Linked DNA regions of Caenorhabditis elegans. The protein of the gene in region 4 interacts with the protein of the main gene of each other region in a pairwise test. Each region holds a gene or a part of one and is shown on either strand. Other genes may lie near its edges. The genes, in order: C26C6.8, cla-1, try-14 and cat-4.

The links.
Region 1: the proteins of cat-4 (region 4) and C26C6.8 interact in a two-hybrid assay, tested with the Caenorhabditis elegans proteins (one large-scale study listed by BioGRID).
Region 2: the proteins of cat-4 (region 4) and cla-1 interact in a two-hybrid assay, tested with the Caenorhabditis elegans proteins (one large-scale study listed by BioGRID).
Region 3: the proteins of cat-4 (region 4) and try-14 interact in a two-hybrid assay, tested with the Caenorhabditis elegans proteins (one large-scale study listed by BioGRID).

Annotation. Positions count from the first base shown.
Region 1 is NC_003279.8:7,503,023-7,507,580, forward strand, and holds C26C6.8 (SH3 domain-containing protein), read right to left. Parts: upstream 2,621-4,558; 5' UTR 2,559-2,620; coding exon 2,516-2,558; intron 2,443-2,515; coding exon 2,351-2,442; intron 2,297-2,350; coding exon 2,144-2,296; intron 1,776-2,143; coding exon 1,662-1,775; intron 1,614-1,661; coding exon 1,393-1,613; intron 744-1,392; coding exon 554-743; 3' UTR 501-553; downstream 1-500. Other genes in the region: pbrm-1 (Bromo domain-containing protein), read left to right, coding at 1-45, 92-211; C26C6.6 (LIM zinc-binding domain-containing protein), read left to right, coding at 2,950-3,015, 3,061-3,126, 3,187-3,286, 3,446-3,624.
Region 2 is NC_003282.8:7,608,667-7,613,704, reverse strand, and holds the start of cla-1 (Protein clarinet), read right to left. Parts: upstream 3,026-5,038; coding exon 2,943-3,025; intron 2,870-2,942; coding exon 2,808-2,869; intron 2,430-2,807; coding exon 2,361-2,429; intron 2,267-2,360; coding exon 1,953-2,266; intron 1,063-1,952; coding exon 1,018-1,062; intron 746-1,017; coding exon 696-745; intron 651-695; coding exon 603-650; intron 483-602; coding exon 66-482; intron 1-65. UniProt on the Caenorhabditis elegans protein: Required for synapse development in the active zone of presynaptic terminals of specific neurons including serotonergic NSM neurons.
Region 3 is NC_003284.9:7,493,219-7,497,574, forward strand, and holds try-14 (Peptidase S1 domain-containing protein), read right to left. Parts: upstream 2,374-4,356; 5' UTR 2,347-2,373; coding exon 2,248-2,346; intron 2,203-2,247; coding exon 2,096-2,202; intron 1,812-2,095; coding exon 1,685-1,811; intron 1,633-1,684; coding exon 1,488-1,632; intron 1,437-1,487; coding exon 1,321-1,436; intron 1,235-1,320; coding exon 1,142-1,234; intron 1,097-1,141; coding exon 1,043-1,096; intron 815-1,042; coding exon 716-814; 3' UTR 506-715; downstream 1-505. Other genes in the region: uggt-1 (UDP-Glucose Glycoprotein glucosylTransferase), read right to left, coding at 2,711-2,878, 2,956-3,700, 3,753-4,271, 4,320-4,356.
Region 4 is NC_003283.11:10,563,154-10,566,975, reverse strand, and holds cat-4 (GTP cyclohydrolase 1), read right to left. Parts: upstream 2,097-3,822; 5' UTR 2,063-2,096; coding exon 1,900-2,062; intron 1,333-1,899; coding exon 1,237-1,332; intron 1,190-1,236; coding exon 992-1,189; intron 934-991; coding exon 719-933; 3' UTR 537-718; downstream 1-536. Other genes in the region: vps-54 (Vacuolar protein sorting-associated protein 54), read left to right, coding at 1-172, 219-321. UniProt on the Caenorhabditis elegans protein: Involved in serotonin and dopamine biosynthesis that affects movement, mating behavior, foraging behavior, and cell migration.

The DNA.
Region 1 (4,558 bases), on a different chromosome or scaffold from region 4:
ACCCAACCAGCTGGAAATGCCCGCGCTCCATCTCATTGGATAAGGGTTAGTTCGACTATTTCTTCTTGTAAAATATATTTCATAATTTCAGAGAATTGAAAACGGACGACCTGTAGCTCGCGAAGAGGATGTTACAAAAGCTTTGTGGAAACTTCGCGATGAATTGTTGAAGAGTACGTGTAGTCTTGTAATGGACCGACCAACTCAATGAAATCAGTGGATCTCTTGTTAAAATTTTATGCAATTTTTATAACTTTATCATAATTATCCTACCCTATCTCGCCTCCCCGTTCAATCCAGAAAACAAGAATCTCTTTTTCTTTTAATGTATTTTCTGATAACCAGTTATGTGTGCTCCTTCTGTTTTTATCCTCTCATGATTCCCACGAATACCTTAAATCCTATTTATTTTCAATAATTTATTCGTTTCTTGATTGTATTTCTTACTACCCACTTCAGTCACTAAATTTATTATCATTTCCAATTCACCTTTTTTTAAAATATTTTTATTAATGGGTCGGGTATGAAACAAATTCAAACGATAAATCAAACATCAAAGATCTGTCGCCAAAATTACAACTTTATTCGGGATAAATCCCTGCTTCTCGTCAGCGATTCGGACGGCCCACAACCAATCATCTACTGGTCTTCCAGTGCATTTTATCCATTCACCTGGTCGGACTGTTAGATCAAGAGGTGATCTTCCAGAAAAAGGTTCGACTACGAGAAGATTTTCATTTTCCCTAAAAATTAAATAAATTTGCCAAGCCAAAATATAATCAGTTTATTTCGCAATCTTTTGAAACGCAAGCACGAGAAAAACATTTATGGCAGTAGTTTTTTATCTTGCAACGGCCCTTTTGCTTTTTTCGGGAATTTCGTGAACAATTTTAAAGTCGATTCTTTTGATTTTTTATTACCCATACGCGAAACTTTGCAATTTTTGCGCCAAAAATATGGTACTCAATCTCGACACGACAATATTTTTTATCAAATGTAAACGGATGTGCGCCTTTAAAGGGTACTGTAGCTTCAAACTTTCGTTGTTGAGGAATTTGCATAGATTTTTCATAATTCTCCGTTAAAAAATGTATTTATTTATTTTAAAAAACCACAAAACACATATATTTTATTTTACTAATCGTGAGAAAAACTATGAGCACGAAAAGTTGTATTTACATTACAGTAGTCTTTAAAGGCGCACACGTTTTCACACTTAACAAAATTGTTATCGTGTCGAGACCGGGTACTGTATTTTTGGCGCAAAAATAACAAATTTTCGCGTCTTCTGAGTCTTTTAATTCTGAAAAAAAAAACAGAATAACACCCATGACCCATCTGAATAAGTCCGTACACCTTTAAGCGTTTCAGAAAACTGCGAACTTACGATACCATTTTTCTTTAATGACACGGCTAGCTTGTTGCAATATTTCATGTGGAATCTTAACATGGGAAGAAGGTACAAAACCAGATTGATTGTCCGAATTTCGAATATAGGTCCACTCAGGATCTGATATATTCAAAACTGTGACAGATTCTCCATCTTTCACAGATATATCATCTGGAGCTGATCCATCAAATGACTGTAGTATTTGAACTTCGCATATCTCATCCTGCAGATAGTATCAAAAGAATATTCAATAGCTTTATTCAAAACAAACCATTTTAAAAACCTCTCCTTCTTCTTTTTGAACAGGAAGACTGTCGATAAATCTCTGCAAATTTGATTTTTCCCAACGGCGATCAAGTGTCGCGCTGGATCCGATCACCTTTTTCTGAAAAGTATTTGATTTGATTTCTCAACGGTTCCATTCCCGAAATTCTTGGAGATCAAACCGAAATGGGACTCTCTGACATCACGTGGCTTCTAAGTTGTTCTCACTAAAGGTGACAATGATTTTCACCACTTTTCTTCGATTTTTCAATGACAAAACTATGAAATATCTATGAAATATTGGAAATAATTAGGAGTGTGGTTACAGTAATTCGCAAGGCGCACATTCTTTTGCGCATATTTCGGTCGTGTCGAGACCGGATACAGTAGTTTTAAATGAATATCATTAAATGCCACAATTACACGTGTTGTTGCATTCTTTAAGATTTGCACTAAAAATAACTTTTCTAGAACATCTAAAACGCTCACCTTTTCACCGTGTTTTGAATTCAAAAGCAATTTACAATATGTCTGTGGAACAAATCCTTTTCTTCCATCAGATACCTCAACATAAATCCATTGATCATCTCGATAAATTGCTTTAACTGTAGTGCCACGGGTTACACTAATTTCGTCAGCAACCTTAAAAGTGAGAGGTTAGAAATTGGGGTAATTTGGAAAAACTGAAAACTATACAGTTGCTGTGAAGTTTTTTGTTAGTTGTCCTGGAGTATAAGGATCAAAATGATCCACTTGCATACTGTCAACCCATCCACCATTATCGGGCACTGAAATTCATTTTTGGAGGTTTTATTTTTAATCAGCTAAAATTAGAAAAAAAATGGGACAAACTGTGCTCACCTCTTCCAGATACAACTTTCCAAAAAATGCTCCTAATGCCCATTGTTTTTGTGCGACGAAAAGCCAATGAATTGCTCACAAAACACGGTTAATCAACAGAGGCATGTCAAATTATTGTTTGTTCACCGAAAATTGGATCTGATTGGAAAAAAAGATGGAGTCTCGGGAGGGAAAGGCATGAAAGGCGGACAGTATTATTTGGCTTCAGTATAATGGCTTATTTTGCCCTAGAAATAAGGAATCTGTGATATTTTATGTATTTTGGAGATTACCATGCAGAGATGCATAAACTTTTGTATCTTGTTTGGAAGTTTTCAATTAAAAACCAATAAATTTTAATACCAGTTACGTGGCAACCGCTTACTAAATACAAATTCGGAGGCGAAGAATACAATTTTAATAAAAAATAATTTATTTCCAAATAAACTAGAAAAATGACTATTGAGTTTATCAATTGTGCAGGATGTAAAGCCAAAATCGCCGAGGAGGATGTCGAAAAGGTAAATCCACAATTGGTGTATTTCCTTTAAAAAAGTAATTTTTAGAACAAAGTTGTCTTCTTTCTGAATCGAATGTGGCATCGGGATCATATTCAATGCATTTTTTGTAAAGTTAGTTTTGGAAGCGTTCGGAAAAAAGCACTTCCAAAATTTCAAAATATCCAATTTTAGCTTCAAATCTCGGACAATCGTTATTTCCGTTCATCAATTGATCCAATGAAACCATCATGTTATGCATGTCATATTCAAACAAATCATCCATCTTGCACAGGTATTTTTAGTTCTTCGAAGTACTGATTAGTAGAAATTAAAAATTGAATGATATGGCTTGTGAATTCGGTTTTGCACGGGTTATACGAACTTTGATTACTCAGCTACATATAGGAAAGATTAGAGCCCCTTACGATTACTTAAAAAACAAATTTTACAGGATGCTCATTGCCAGTAATTGAACGAGGACTTGTTGCATTTAATCGTCTCTTTCATATTGATTGTTTCCGTTGTGCAATCTGTAACAAGACAATTCCTCAAAGAAAAGGATTTTATGAACGTGATATGATGTTTTATGATGACGTTTGTTATATGCTTCATATCAAAGATGTTCTATAACATATTGAACTTATTTGAAAAAATAATGAATAGATTTTGAACGGTTTAAAGTGTATTTTTGTGGGTTAACTATAATTTCTAAGATACTGATTTTTGAGAGATTTCAAGACAAATAGGGAGTAAAGTAGTCCCTTTCGGAACAATTTTTCTGTGATTTCTCTTGTTCACTGACAAAAACTGAACAATTTCAGTGTTTCATCTAATTAAAACATTTTTTTATCAGAAACATTGGACTTTTTTAAAATTTATAACACGATTTTTGAAATTTTACACATTTTGAAAAATGCAATTTCTGAATCCAGAGTTTTGTCAATTTTTCAATCAATTTATAGAACTTGCAAAAGTGAAACAATAATTATAATATTTGAAACATCACAATCATAATGAGCATCCTTCTGTTCTTTCATCATTTAACCTCCTCCATTCAAGTAGTAAAGTGTGCATCTAGTAACTTCACACCACAAAATGTTTCTGTGGGAGAAGAGCTACGGGATGGATGAGATGTGTCACCTGTGTCAGATCAAAATGACGTCATATAGATCTTAGTTTTCTTTTTCGAGTAACTACGTACTCGAAAATGTTTTGTGACTTTTTAAACATGTCAGTGTCAATCTTTTAATAATTTTTTTTTGTTTTTTGTTTCTGTCTGATTTTTTTTTGTGTAATAGTCTTGAAATCTTTTTGAAATCTAAAAGTCTTCTCAAGTCTCAATTCACTATTTCAATATTTGTCATTTTTACGTTTTTACAGAGAAACTAAACATTTAACTTTTGTTTCAGATGAAGTTTTGGCATATTTCCAATTTTCCTTGCAAAATTTTTTTTAAATATTGAACACTGTTGAGTGAGGAAATGTTAAACTACACAACATTGAAATTTTTAAACACAATTAACTAAATATTATTAAACCCAAAAACGTAGGAAATTTTGTTTTT
Region 2 (5,038 bases), on a different chromosome or scaffold from region 4:
AATTTGAAGCATTCATTGTGTTTCATAATCTTAAAATTTTGGTGTCTCATTGTCGGCTAACTAACCTTGGTGGCATTGGTGGTGGGCCTCTTGCAATGGGTTTTCGCACATTCTGCATATCAGCTTCTGCCATAACTGCCATAATTTTCATTCTTTCATCATCTGACAAATCATCGAGTCCAGGTGGTAATTCGGACATTATACTTGAACTCATAACACTGGGAGATCTTGTTGGAATTTGACTTGAAGGAGGAGGGAAACGTGCGCCCATCTCCATTTCTGCATTTGCCATAACTGACATGATCTTTTCTCTTTCTGCTTCCGAAAGATCCTCCATTCCTGCTGGAATATTTGATGAACCACTTGTGCTTGGTTTTACATTATTAACAGAATCGTCAAAGTCGGCTGCAGCCATAACTGACATGATTTGTCGACGTTCTTCTTCGGAAAGACCATCCATCGGAATACCGATTTGTGGAGAGCTGTAATTTCAAAATTAACCATTTAGGAAATGAAAATCAAAAGAAAAAAGAAGAGGGGAGGTAGAAAAGTGTACGTGCGGGGAGTAATCTGATATACTGGGAATGTTTTATGTTACTTACGGAATAGATTTGGTTGGAGCACTGGTGCCTAGGGAGGTTGAGGATTTGCTGAAATTGTTTTTTTTATAGTTGACTTGACAAAATATCAATTACCTGCTAGAGAAGACATTGTTGTTGACAATATTTGATGATGAAGAGGATGGCTGAAAAGTTTTTATTATTTTGAGGTTATTTAATTTATTTCAAAAAAATTAATTTACAGAAGTAATGTTTAAAAACATTAGCCGTTTTGTGAATTAGTTAATTGTTTGTTTATAATATTAATACCAAAAGCAGTTTCTCAAAAAAAAGTAATCAATCAAGTGAAAAACTCGTGAGCGTTTAGTCATGAGATCTAGATCAAAATCGTGTTACCATAATTGAATTGGGTCGGAAGCCCTACGGAAAGAGAATAAAAAGAAAAAAGTTCACTCACCTTGATGGGTACGGCGGCTTGGATTTGCGAACCCGCTTCCTTTGCCTGCAAAAAGAGCAATTATCGAAAGTGACAAGGAGAGAAGAGCACACGCATGTCTTCTCGCAAAAAATTAATGAGGCATGGGGGTCCCCCGAGCCGAATCCTAAAGTGTTTCTTTTTGTTGCACACCCTACATTTATGCATAAGCGACACATACAACAAAACATAAAAAAGTGGAAAATAGACCAAAACGATGGGTACATCTTTTGGAATGGTGTATGTGTGACCGCTAAAAAAAAAAAAGAAAAAAGGAAGAACAAATGATTGTATAGTGTTTGTTGGATGAGGGAACAACACATTTGCGTTATTTTGGAAAGACCGGAAAGTCGAATTCCGTGAGTAACGAGCCCATCGTAGCTGCTCTTGGAGAGTCAAAGACACTGCGAAATTGGTTTTGTATACTGACATTGAAATGGTTTTTTTTTTTTGAAAATGAATTCATGTAATATATAAATTTGTGTGTATAAAAAACTACTCATATTCTCAAAATGTTGCATGTAAAAGTTAGTTATTTTTAAGAAAAAATGCTGATTGAAGAGTTTCTTAGATGTTAACATAATTTCTATGTTTTTTTTCTAGAAAACAGTAAATTTGAATATAACAGAAAAAAACAAATTGTTGCAACATAATATGTTCTACATTATTGGAAAATCATTTCAAATATCCATACCAAATATCATAATAAAACCTGTCAAACAATTTTGGACAATTATTTATTTTCAGTCAAACAGCTCTAAAAAAAATAACAATTTCTATAGTGACTGAAAATATTTTGAATAGCTTCGCGCATTTACAGTTTCAAAAACGTAGTCTTTTGAGTTTTAGTTTTTTGTTCATGGTCTTTTTTCAAACGGTGAAGTCTGATAGGTCATAGTGAATATTCAATTACTTACCTTATTAATAGCATCATTTGCAATATTAGAAAGGAAGCCGAAATTGGGTCGCTTCAACATACGACTACCCGGCAGTGAATCGATGGGTGTCTGCTGCGCCCTCAACGACTCTTCTCTCTGCGTCTCAAATCCATCATCAAAAGCCTCACGACTACTACTCTTCGTCTTCTCCTCCTCTTCGTAGTTCTCCAGTTTTTGCTGCTCCACGGCGTCGTCACCATATTTTCTCTTTTCCCCTTCACCAATCGATCTTCCGGTGCCAAAGAAGGCAGAAGAAGTGGTGGGCTCATGGTGTTGGCTCTCTACGTCAATACCTGCAAATATATGTTTTTTTGCTTTGAGATTTGGTCTCTTCGTCTCGCTTTTTGATTTGTGCTATGAATTTTTCATTTTTGACAGAAAACTCACCTTCAAGGAAGTGAAGTTGATCCTCAACATACTCCAATGGGAACTCTTCAACGTCAGTTCGAATTTCATCTGAAATTTCAAAAATAAAAAAGTAAATAGAGAAGAAAAATGTAATATTTGTATTACATAGGTCTAATGAAATTATATTCAGTCATTTCTTTTATTTGGACGTTTTTCTGAGTCAAAAACAGAGTGGATAGTGGAAAATTTTGAAAGTTCAGATAAAAGTCTGCTGATTGCAATTAGAATTGTTTTTTGTAGAATTAAGAATTAATTAAACACTCTTGTAAAATATTTTTGATAACATTTTATCTAGCTTTTGCTTTCTTTGCTGTAGAAATTCTCTTGTCGAGTAGAATTTGTTTTAGCAAATTATACTAGGTAGGTGAGTAGGCCTCTGTGTACCTACACTGAAGCGCATAAAAGTTTTTTTTTTAAACCACTTACGCCCCACATCTTCTTCCTCATCGTGGATCGATTGTCGCATGAAACTGAGTTGCTCCTCATACCTGAACAAAATAGTAAAATTGAAACACTAATTTTCAAAAAGAAAAAAAAAGGTTTATTAAAAATTCAGCATACCACTTTCCGATATCCGACTCGGACTCTTGCCTAATCTCTGATATACTTCTAATGTCGTATTCACTACTCTTCCGTGACGCCATCGAATCTGCTGATGGCGTCGGAGACACAGTCTGAAAATCATAAAATCCTGTTGGATAGTAGTGTTTAGTAGTCAAAAAAGGGGAAAAGTTGAAAATCTGGGAGTTGTCACGCTATCTGCATAATATTTAATGACACCGTTGCATTGCCACGGCATGCATAGCAACATGGTGAATGTGAAAAAAAAGTATTTATGGCTGGGAAAATAGAAACAGCTCGCACACAAAAAACAACGTCTATTTCTCACCTTCTGAGCCATAATAGGACCCTGGGGCTCTTCAGTTGTGTCAAGTGCAGCAGGAGATGTAACTCGATCTGGAGAGAAGCCGCTCGTTAGCACTTGAGCATTGTTGTTATCGAAGGAGCCGCTGGCGCCTGAACTTGCATCTTCTTGTTCATCGAATATATCAGCACCTGATGTTGCATCTGATCCACTTTCTGTTATTGGTTCTTCTTCTTCATCTTGAACTGGTTCAGCAGTGAATGGAGTGTTATAATCCATATCAGCCATCTCAGCAATTCTTGCAATATGGTCAAGCTCTTCTTGAGTGAGATCTTGCTCAAAGTGTTTAGAAGGAGGAGGAGGAGGTGGAGTCAACGAAACCTTATGAGTAATCGATCTTTGGGTGGCAGGAAGTTGGACATCTTGTGCAGCCATTGCAGTAATCTTTGCTATATGATCAAGTTCCTCTTGAGTTAGTTCTGGTGGTTCGAATATTTTTACAGGAACATCATATTCTGCTGATGCCATTTCAGCTATGCGAGCAATATGATCAAGTTCTTCCTGAGTAAGTGATGTCTCGGATGGTTTTCCTGTTGGAGGTGGTAGAGTACTGATGTCCATAGATGCCATTCCTGTGATCTTAGCGATATGATCAAGTTCTTCTTGAGTAAGTTCAGATTCAACTGGAGCAGGATGTTCAGAAACAATTGAAGGATACATTCCAAAGTCTTCATTTGCCATTGCAGCTATTCGAGTAATGTGATCTATTTCTTCTTGGGAGAGCTCCGGTTCATTTTGTTTAACTTGAGGAGTTGGTAGAGTTTGTAGATCAGTGTTATCTTCAGTAGCCATAGCTGTTATTCTTGCAATGTGATCAATTTCTTCTTGCGATAGAGTTGGTTCTTCAACATGATAATTAATTGGCACTGGCATTGTCGCAACTCGTTGCTCTTGTTGGATAAAGGGAGATGGCGCATTTAAATCTTCGGAAGCCATCGCCTCGATCCTTGCAATATGTTCTTTTTCTTCTTCCGTTAGTTCTATTTCAATTTGCTGTGTTGGATGTGTTGAAACGTATGGTGTATTAAAATCTTCTTCAGCCATTGCAGCGATTCTGGAAATATGTTCACGCTCTTCTTCAGAAAGTTCAATTTCAGACGGCTGCGCAAACACTGGAGTAGCTGTCGAAGCTGGGAATCTATCAATTGCACCATCGTCCCTACTATAATTTTCATCATAAATTGGCGCGACAGCTCCTTTAACAGGATGTGTAAAGTCCTCGTCAGCCATTGCAGCTATTCGAGCAATGTGATCCATTTCTTCCATTGAAAGTTCAATATCTTTTTGGATAATTGAAGGAGGAGGAACAATGATTTTAGATTGTGAATCATCCGCTGCCATAGCCTCAATACGAGCGATATGATCTTTCTCTGCTTGTGACAATCCTTGATTCATATTAACTGCGGGTTGTTCAAAGTCTTCCGCTGCCATAGCATTAATTCTGGCAATGTGATCTATTTCATCTTGTGTGAGCTCTTGCTTAGATTCTTGCTGAGCACTTTCAGTAGCCTGTGCAATGTTATCTAGCTCTTCTTGGGTTAGACCACTAAGAGATTGCTTTGATTGATTTTGAACGTTCTTTATCACAGAATCTGTAGCATGCATGACCGACTGGGTAGCTTTTCCGAAGAAATTCTTTAGTCCAAATGTAGATTTTGGTTTAGACTGTTCATCGAGAATCTCTTCATCCATCTTCTCTGCCATTAATGACATTTGTCGAATATGTTCCTTC
Region 3 (4,356 bases), on a different chromosome or scaffold from region 4:
TTTTCTATGGCAACACAGAACGTGTATAGTTGTAGCATAGAGTTCAAAAGAGCAGACATCAAAACGCACGGCTTCAAAGAATTTTTGAACAGACAACTCATTAATTAGAATAAGCTAAACACTTATTTATTTTCTACGTTTACTTAGTTTTTTGGGTAAAATTTTGGTAATTGTGAAGTATACCAGGTTCAAAAACATTTTGCAATACATTTTCCGTTCATTTCTTTATAAAACAATTATTTAATTAAAAACTGAAATTGATTTGTATTTCCATGCTCAAAAAACACTGATCCCGAGGATAATATGAACACAAAGGGTCACGGACACATTTTCAAAATGGTTAACATTTTTGGGCTAGGTATGTACTACACAAGTACCGAAATATAAAACATTCGAAGTAATGAGAAGTTCGTTGTTTCAAAAAAATAGAATGTTTCTTTTTCATTTTTTCTGCAACAAACATCTGATTGATTTTCAAACACAATTATTACACTAAAAGATTCTTGAAAAAGACCGATGTTCATTTAGGTTTTTGCAACAATTTTAATTGAAACCAAAGGATAGAATGAAAGATGCAAACGTAAGAATAGAAGTACAGAGCAAACACAAAATGTGCACACGAAAATCAATACGTTATAAGGGACCAACAAGTGTTTATTGCATCATAAAAACATTTATTTCAAAGGGAATGAAGAATGAAAAAGTGGAATTTAAATTAGAAGCATTTGTCCTGTGCTTCAAAAACGCTAGCCTTGTCCACATTCTCAATAGCATGGACAAATGTATTGTCGCTAAAGACAACAAATTGCATGGTCTGGAAATTGATAATATTGGAAATCCACATAATGGAGAAGATTATTTACTTTGCCCCTTGCCCCCCGTTTCTTTTAATCTCATATTTCCTCCCGAAAGTCCAAAAGATGAGAAATCAATCACCGGCGTATTTTGTTGTCTGATAAGATTCTCAACACTACAAAATGCGGTTTTTTATAAAGAATTTCTATTACGTAATGTATTCAGAATAATTGCTCGTTGATTTTACCTGAACTTCTGAGCAGTTGACAACCACCATTGTGCTGTTGTCTTCCTTGTCCATCTATAAAAATCATAAGTTTAAAGACAAAATAAGCGATAAGCCTACCTCACGCCCGTAGAGACCAGAAACAATTCCTACTTGAACATATTTATTGTTTTCTACATCCAGAACACATTCCAGTGGTGCTCCTATATCATCCTGAATTTGAACAATTACTTTTTATAAAAACTAAGTAATGCAAAGTTTGAAAGTGTGTATTTCCAAAAAACAACAAAAACGCTTACCCAGCAAACACGACCTGTAGAGTTACTGTTAACTTCTGAGAACATGAGATTTTCTGTGTCAGCGTGAACATCAAGATCCAATACTTGGACTTTGTGTGAAGTAGCGAAGTCTTCCACTAAAAATATAATAACTTATTTAGTAGCTACATAGTTTTGTAGTTACGAACCATCTTCCGTAGTTTCAAATCCAATCACTCTACATTTGGAATCTTGAAGATCCCTTGGCACAATTGTACGGTAAGTAGCATCAGTCAAGCTTGGTTTGAAGTTGAGCCGTGCAACTCTTGGTGGGTGTGGCTCCTTATCGCAAAACTATAAAAATAATTTCTCTAATAAGAGTTGCAAATACTAGAGTCTTTTTTACATGATCTTCATTAACCGCATCGATTTTCATCAGAGCCAAGTCGCCGTCAATTTTCACAGCAAGCATTGCTTTGTTCATGGTAGCAGAGGAATCCTTCTTTTTGATAATAGCTTGTGCAATAAGGTTCCTAAATAAATATTAAATTGCCTTCAAATAAAAATCCATTTCAGCGTTTCTTCTAAACCAACAGTTGCTATACATATATTTCTATAAACTATCTCTGGCATAGTTTCGTCTAAGTTTTCAATCGAAAATTGTCAGCACATTCCGCACAACAAGCCAATTCACGAATCTTTTGCGTAGTCGAATTCAGAGCAGAAAAAGTGTAAAATGTAAGAGACTATAATGCGCTATGTTCGTTCGTAAGCTTCTTATTTTGCTACGGGAATATTTAAAAATTTGAAACCATACTTTCTGGTGTCTGGGAAACATTTCGAGCTGGTTAGCACAACGGATGGAGACAAAAGAGTTCCCGTGCAAGTTGAGATATTCTTCAGTTTGGTATCCTTAGTGAGTACCTGAACATAAAACATAAAATTCGAAGCGAGTTGAGCAAGTCTTACCTTCACCAAGTACTGATGGCGTTCCCATTTTGCCGGGTCCGCAATGTACATTGAAAACACGAATGCAAGTAGAGAGGAAACGATGACCGCTCGAAACATCTTCTTTCGATCAAATGATTCGAATGAGGATTTGACCCGACGAGCATCGCATTGATATTGTTGTAATATCCGCTTTCAGAAAAATCAAGCAAATGCATTCTTTAATACACCCACACATCAAGAAAAAGAAAATATTTATTGGATAGAGAGAGGCAAAAAAATGTTTCAAAGATTCATCACAAGTTTGACAATATTTGAAAATGAAATTTTGAAAGCTCTCATAGTCAAAAGCTAAAAAATAAATAGCAGAAAAAGCGAATCGACTGATTTGGAAAAAAATATACCCAGAGTTTTGAATATCATAATGGTGATTGGAAACATTTTCAATAAATAACGGGTAAACTTGGCATATGAAAAGATTAATTTAAAGTTCCGTGTGAGAGTCATCATTTTCAGAAATGACATTATCCGAAGGGTTATCAGAAGAATGTCCAGAAATGACTTCCCGGATTTCGTCATCATACGTTTTCCATTCTCCAATAATTCTGGCGGCTGAGTCGAGCTTTGGCTCTTTTGTGAGCGGGTTGTTGCACTGAAAATTGTTAATTGTTCACGGAAATTTAAAACAGATCAATGGCACAGCATTTCAGTTGTGTTCAATCAACTTACCAAGTCAATAGTCTTTGCATTCTTCTTGCTTCCATCATCGCACCAAGTCTCACACCAAAGCCACTCTTGTGGAAGCGATTTGATCTTAACCTGATGGATCATGTTATTTGGCAAGTCTTGATCCAAGTTAGCCAGACTGTTTGGATCGCCAGATAGTCCTTGATATTGTCCACGAAGACGATCTCCGGCAGCGATTTGACGGAACTTTTGAAGATCAATAACGTAGAGAGCACTAATGTGATATCTTCTCCCAGCGAGATGGTTCGCCCAATATCCTTGCTTCCAGAATCGGAATCCGTCCATCTCCTTTCTACTTTCACAGAATGGCACATATCCGTATGGCGCATTTCCAAGATCAAACTTCATCAGCTCCATCAAATCAGCACGCACCACCTGGTCAGCGTCCACAAAGATCACCTTTTGAACATCAAGTGGGAAGAGTACATCAAGGAAAAGAATCTTGAATCCCCACATAATACGTTGTTTCTCCTTCTGCTGGTGAAGCCACCTTGGCCACTTGTACTCGATCAGTTCATACTCGAAACCATAGTGCTTGGCAAGAGTTGGAAGTGTCTCTTTGAATTGTGGCGACAGGTAGTTCTTGAGAAGCCAGAATTTAACTGGATGCTTCGTGTTCTTCATGACCGAGACAATCATGATTCTCATGAACCGTTCGTACAAGTGACCGGATGCGAGAGAAAATACATTGATCACTTCCTGGGTTTTTTCTTTGCTGCTCACCAAGCTGAAAATAACATTATGAGATTATTTCAAAAGAGTTTAAACAAAATGCTTACTTGCTAAGACTGCTCCAAACACCTTCTTCATCGTCGGAAAGAAGATTTCTCTCCTCCATGCCTTCACGTTTTTCAACACGAACTCTTACTGATTTACCAGTGAATGAGTCAATAACAACTTGAAGCACATCCTCCCCAATCTTCTCCGCTCCAACATGCGATCCAATCTTGTAAATCTCACTAGATTTTCCATCACGGATCTCTAGTTTCCAAGCACCAGGATTTGCTTTAAGTTGGAAATATCCTAAATTAGCCATAACGATTGTATCAAATTGTTTAGGGTTCTTGTCCGTTCCCAAAGTGAACTGCAGACCGCGTGGTGGTTGACCACTAACTTCGTCGAAACACTGTCCATCGAGAAGTAAGTGTTGGAGTGCAAACTCGGCAGTGACATCTCCGTTGGCTTGTTCCATCTTGATGTTATCCAAATCATACTTGGCAGAAACGGCTTCCACTATCCATGAGTCGGGAGCTTGCAGCGAAAGTGTCAGAAGTTGCTTACTGGGAAGATTATCGAACCTGAAATTGTGAAATTGAAATTGGTTTTATTAAATAGAAAGTATTCACCTGACAACATTTGTGTTCAAGTTTCCATTGTGATCGA
Region 4 (3,822 bases):
AATTTCAACAAATTTGTCGCCATATGCTGAAATTCCACAATGGACTGGTTGGCATCATGCCAAGAGATCAGATCGAGGCGTTGTTCCGTCAAGTACACGAAAACTTTAAAGCCAACTTACGAGAACACGTCACTGGAATGGGTATCACACCTCATGACCCTTTAAAATACGGGTAAGAATAAATTACTGAAATTTCAACTATAATGTACTATTTTCAGATATGTCACAAAAGATTACATGTTTTATCAACAAAATGTGAAAAACATGGAAAGTTGCCGTAATTTGGAGCTCGAGTCGCTTAATGACATTATGTTTGAATAGGACTTTTCTTTGTAAAATATTTATTTAATTTTCAATCTGGTTTATTTCTTGTGTATGATTGTGATTGTTTGACTAATTACGGTGGCTTTTATTTCACGCTTCTTCTGTAAACTTCCCCAATTCACTGGTCCTTCATTCCTAATTTTTTAGTTTGTGCTTCTGGGCTAGCTTTATCACTTTCATTTCCCAGTTAATTGTTTTTGTTTTTATTTATCTGGTATTTAGTAATTTATTGCATGTACAATAAAAGCATATTACAGTATCCAGGCAATGAACATGTTGTATGAATTTAAAAAGCTGAAGCATAAGATGTTAGTAGATTCACATGGAAAGTTATGAAAAGTTAGTAACAGTTAAAACCCAAAAAAACAAGTAAAAAAGGAAATGACTAGAATTTTTAGCGTTTGTTGATAAGATTAAGGAATTCTTCGCGAGTCTTTGGATCGTCACGGAATACTCCCAACATGCAGGATGTTGTGGTGGAAGCATTGATCTTTTGAACTCCTCTCATTACCATACACATGTGACTAGCTTCAATAACAACTGCAACTCCGGATGGTTGTACAGCTTGAACCATTGCGGTGGCAATTTGCTTTGTAAGACGTTCTTGGACTGAAATATTTGAACGTTTAGGTTAGGTTCCAATCAAAAATGTAATTTCTCAATTTACCTTGAAGTCTTCTGCTGAACATCTCGACTATTCTTGCCAACTTGGACAGACCAAGAACCTTCTTGTTTGGAATGTATCCAATATGAACTTTTCCCATAAATGGAACTAAATGATGCTCACAAAGGGAGAACATTTCAATATCTTTCACAATAACCATCTCATCGTGATCCTCGTCGAATACTGCCTCGTTGAGGAGCTCTGAAAAATGAAACTTTGAGCTTTAACGTTGTATTGCTATAACTGACCATCAAGTTGATCATCGTATCCCTTTGTGAATGCCATCATTGCTTTGGCAGCACGTTCTGGAGTTTTCAGAAGTCCCTGACGATTGATGTCTTCTCCTGAATTCCCAAAATCAGTCAACGTGGGAAAATGTATTTTGTTTTCATTTTTTCCCTTATAATCAACGGACACAACCTATTTTTTTCTGATTTATGTTATAGATATATCAATTGAAATCACAAGTTCCTGATGATGTGCTAGGGTACCTTGATTGCGTGATGTAATAGATTACAATTTGTCATGAGTCTTTAAATTAAAACAATTTTCGATCTTGATTTTTGATTTGAGAGTGGAATATATTGAACTGAACTTCCTTCCAGACAATAACAACTATCAGTTATAGATCATCGACTTTCAAAACATCTTGGTCAAATTTATATTTGGGAAAATATTTATCAATATTCTTTGAGTCACTGATAATGAATAAATGCTAAAACATTATAATCTCTAGAATGAATCAAAAAGTGTGTTGAAATGTTTATCGAAACCAAAGTTTTCCTAATTCTGCTGACGTAAACAGTTGACAGTACGTTTTCAGAACTCTATAATCTATTCTTAAACAGCTTATTTTAAATTTGTTGTTGATCGACTAATACTTTCCGAACCAAAGAATCACATGAACTCACCGACATGTTGAATGATGCTCTGATAGGCATTGCACATTGATTTCAAATGATCTTCCTTTGGAATCGTTCCGTTTCTTTTCTTCATCTCAACTTTATCGTCTTCGGATCCAACACTTGCGGCGTCAGATGACAAAAATCCGCTTTCGTTCTCAATTCTGGACATTTTGATATTATGATGTTGATAGAGTGGGTAAAGCCTGAAAACATTGATTGAGTAAGTGAGTGAAATAAGGTGATATTGAAAATGAGCCGTGGGTAAATCTTAAGAAAGCTGAGAAAGCGTAGGCGACAAAAAGAAAGGATAGACATTCAAATAATTGCCGGATGAAACCGAATATGTGCAATGTCCAAGCAAGAAAGAAGAAATTACGAAAAAAAAAGGTACAACACGTCATGTATTATGAAAGGTATTCTGGGAAAAAATAGGCAAAATGAAGGGACAGAAGGAAATCAATCTAGTCGAATGGATAGACTTCATCATCTTTTCCCACTTATGTGAAAAAATGAGAAAAAAAGAATAAGAAAATAGCAAAAAATCGAAAAAGAAACGGAAGACGTCGTCCCATACATCAATCGTTTTCCGCCATTCCTTCATGGCAGCACTTCTAGGTATTCAGGAAAATGTGGAGGAAGAATAATTTATTTATGCAAACAAAAGGAACATGTAAAAAGAAAATGAAACCGATTGATTAGGTGGATAGGCGCAACAAGAAAAGAAAAAGTGGACTGGTCTGAGGAGATACAGAGAGAAGGATCGTAAATCAGCGAGGAATGATATAGACCTTCACTCACGTGGACTTCTAGTTCACTATCAGTTTTGTTGCCGAAACTTTGGCAGATTAATATCTACAAGTTACTCTTTCATGCACTACAATCGAAAAAATTGAGAAACTTTATATTCAAAACGAAATTTGGAATTTATCAAACTTCACATATATTTCTCACGAAATTCATCAAATGGTCCTCCTGGGAAGTTATTTAAAAACAATAATAGGATCACATGTGGTAGAATATACTCCTCCTATTTTTAAAACTCATCACACCTAATAATATTACTCATCGAAACAACCAATCTGAAAAATAAACTAGATTCTGGCAAAAAAATTACTAATGAGTTTAGTACAACACAGAAACCGTGTTAAACTCTCATATATACTGCCAACAGCCACAAAAATAAAATACAATTTCTAATATTTCACCATGTCAAAAAAGTAGGACCTCAAATTTGGGAACGATTTCATTCAACAGTTTCGGTTTTCAAAAATTGTAAAATTTTAACTACTTTCCTTTCTAAGTCATCATCAGGTGGAAAAATGAGAAAGTAAAGAAAGAAAATGAAAAGAATTGAGGGGTCTAAAGAAGTACACTCACTTTCTTCTATTCTTCTACTTAACTACCTACATAAGAATTTCGTTGAAACAGTTAAAGCTAGTAGAAAGATCAAACCCACGCCTTTTTTTTCCCGGCAGACTCGATGTGTTTTGATGACATTCACACGAAATGACGAGAACGGTTCCAAAATCAGCTGAAGATGAGGGAAGAGGCGTTTCGAACTTGTAAATGTTTTCCTAGTTTTCTAGTTCTTTTTCATCAGATATCGTTTCTTATATTTGCGATTTCTGGGCTGATTGGGTACAAGTTGGGAGGAGGTGATGACGAATGAAAACAAGAAAACTTGAAATACTATTTTGTTATGATCAGGATTTTTTGGGTTATTCGAAGTCTCTCATAACTTTTGGTTCTTCAGAGTTAGAGATTGAGAATCAAAAAGAACTATTTGAAAAAACTGAGCTATTGTCAATATTCTTGAAAAGTAAAAAATTAAAATCGAAAGTTGTTACTGAAAAGTACTGCCAAATAATACCGTAACACTCGTAGAGGAAGTTCCCCGCAATTTATTAGGTTGAACTATAAATAAGATAA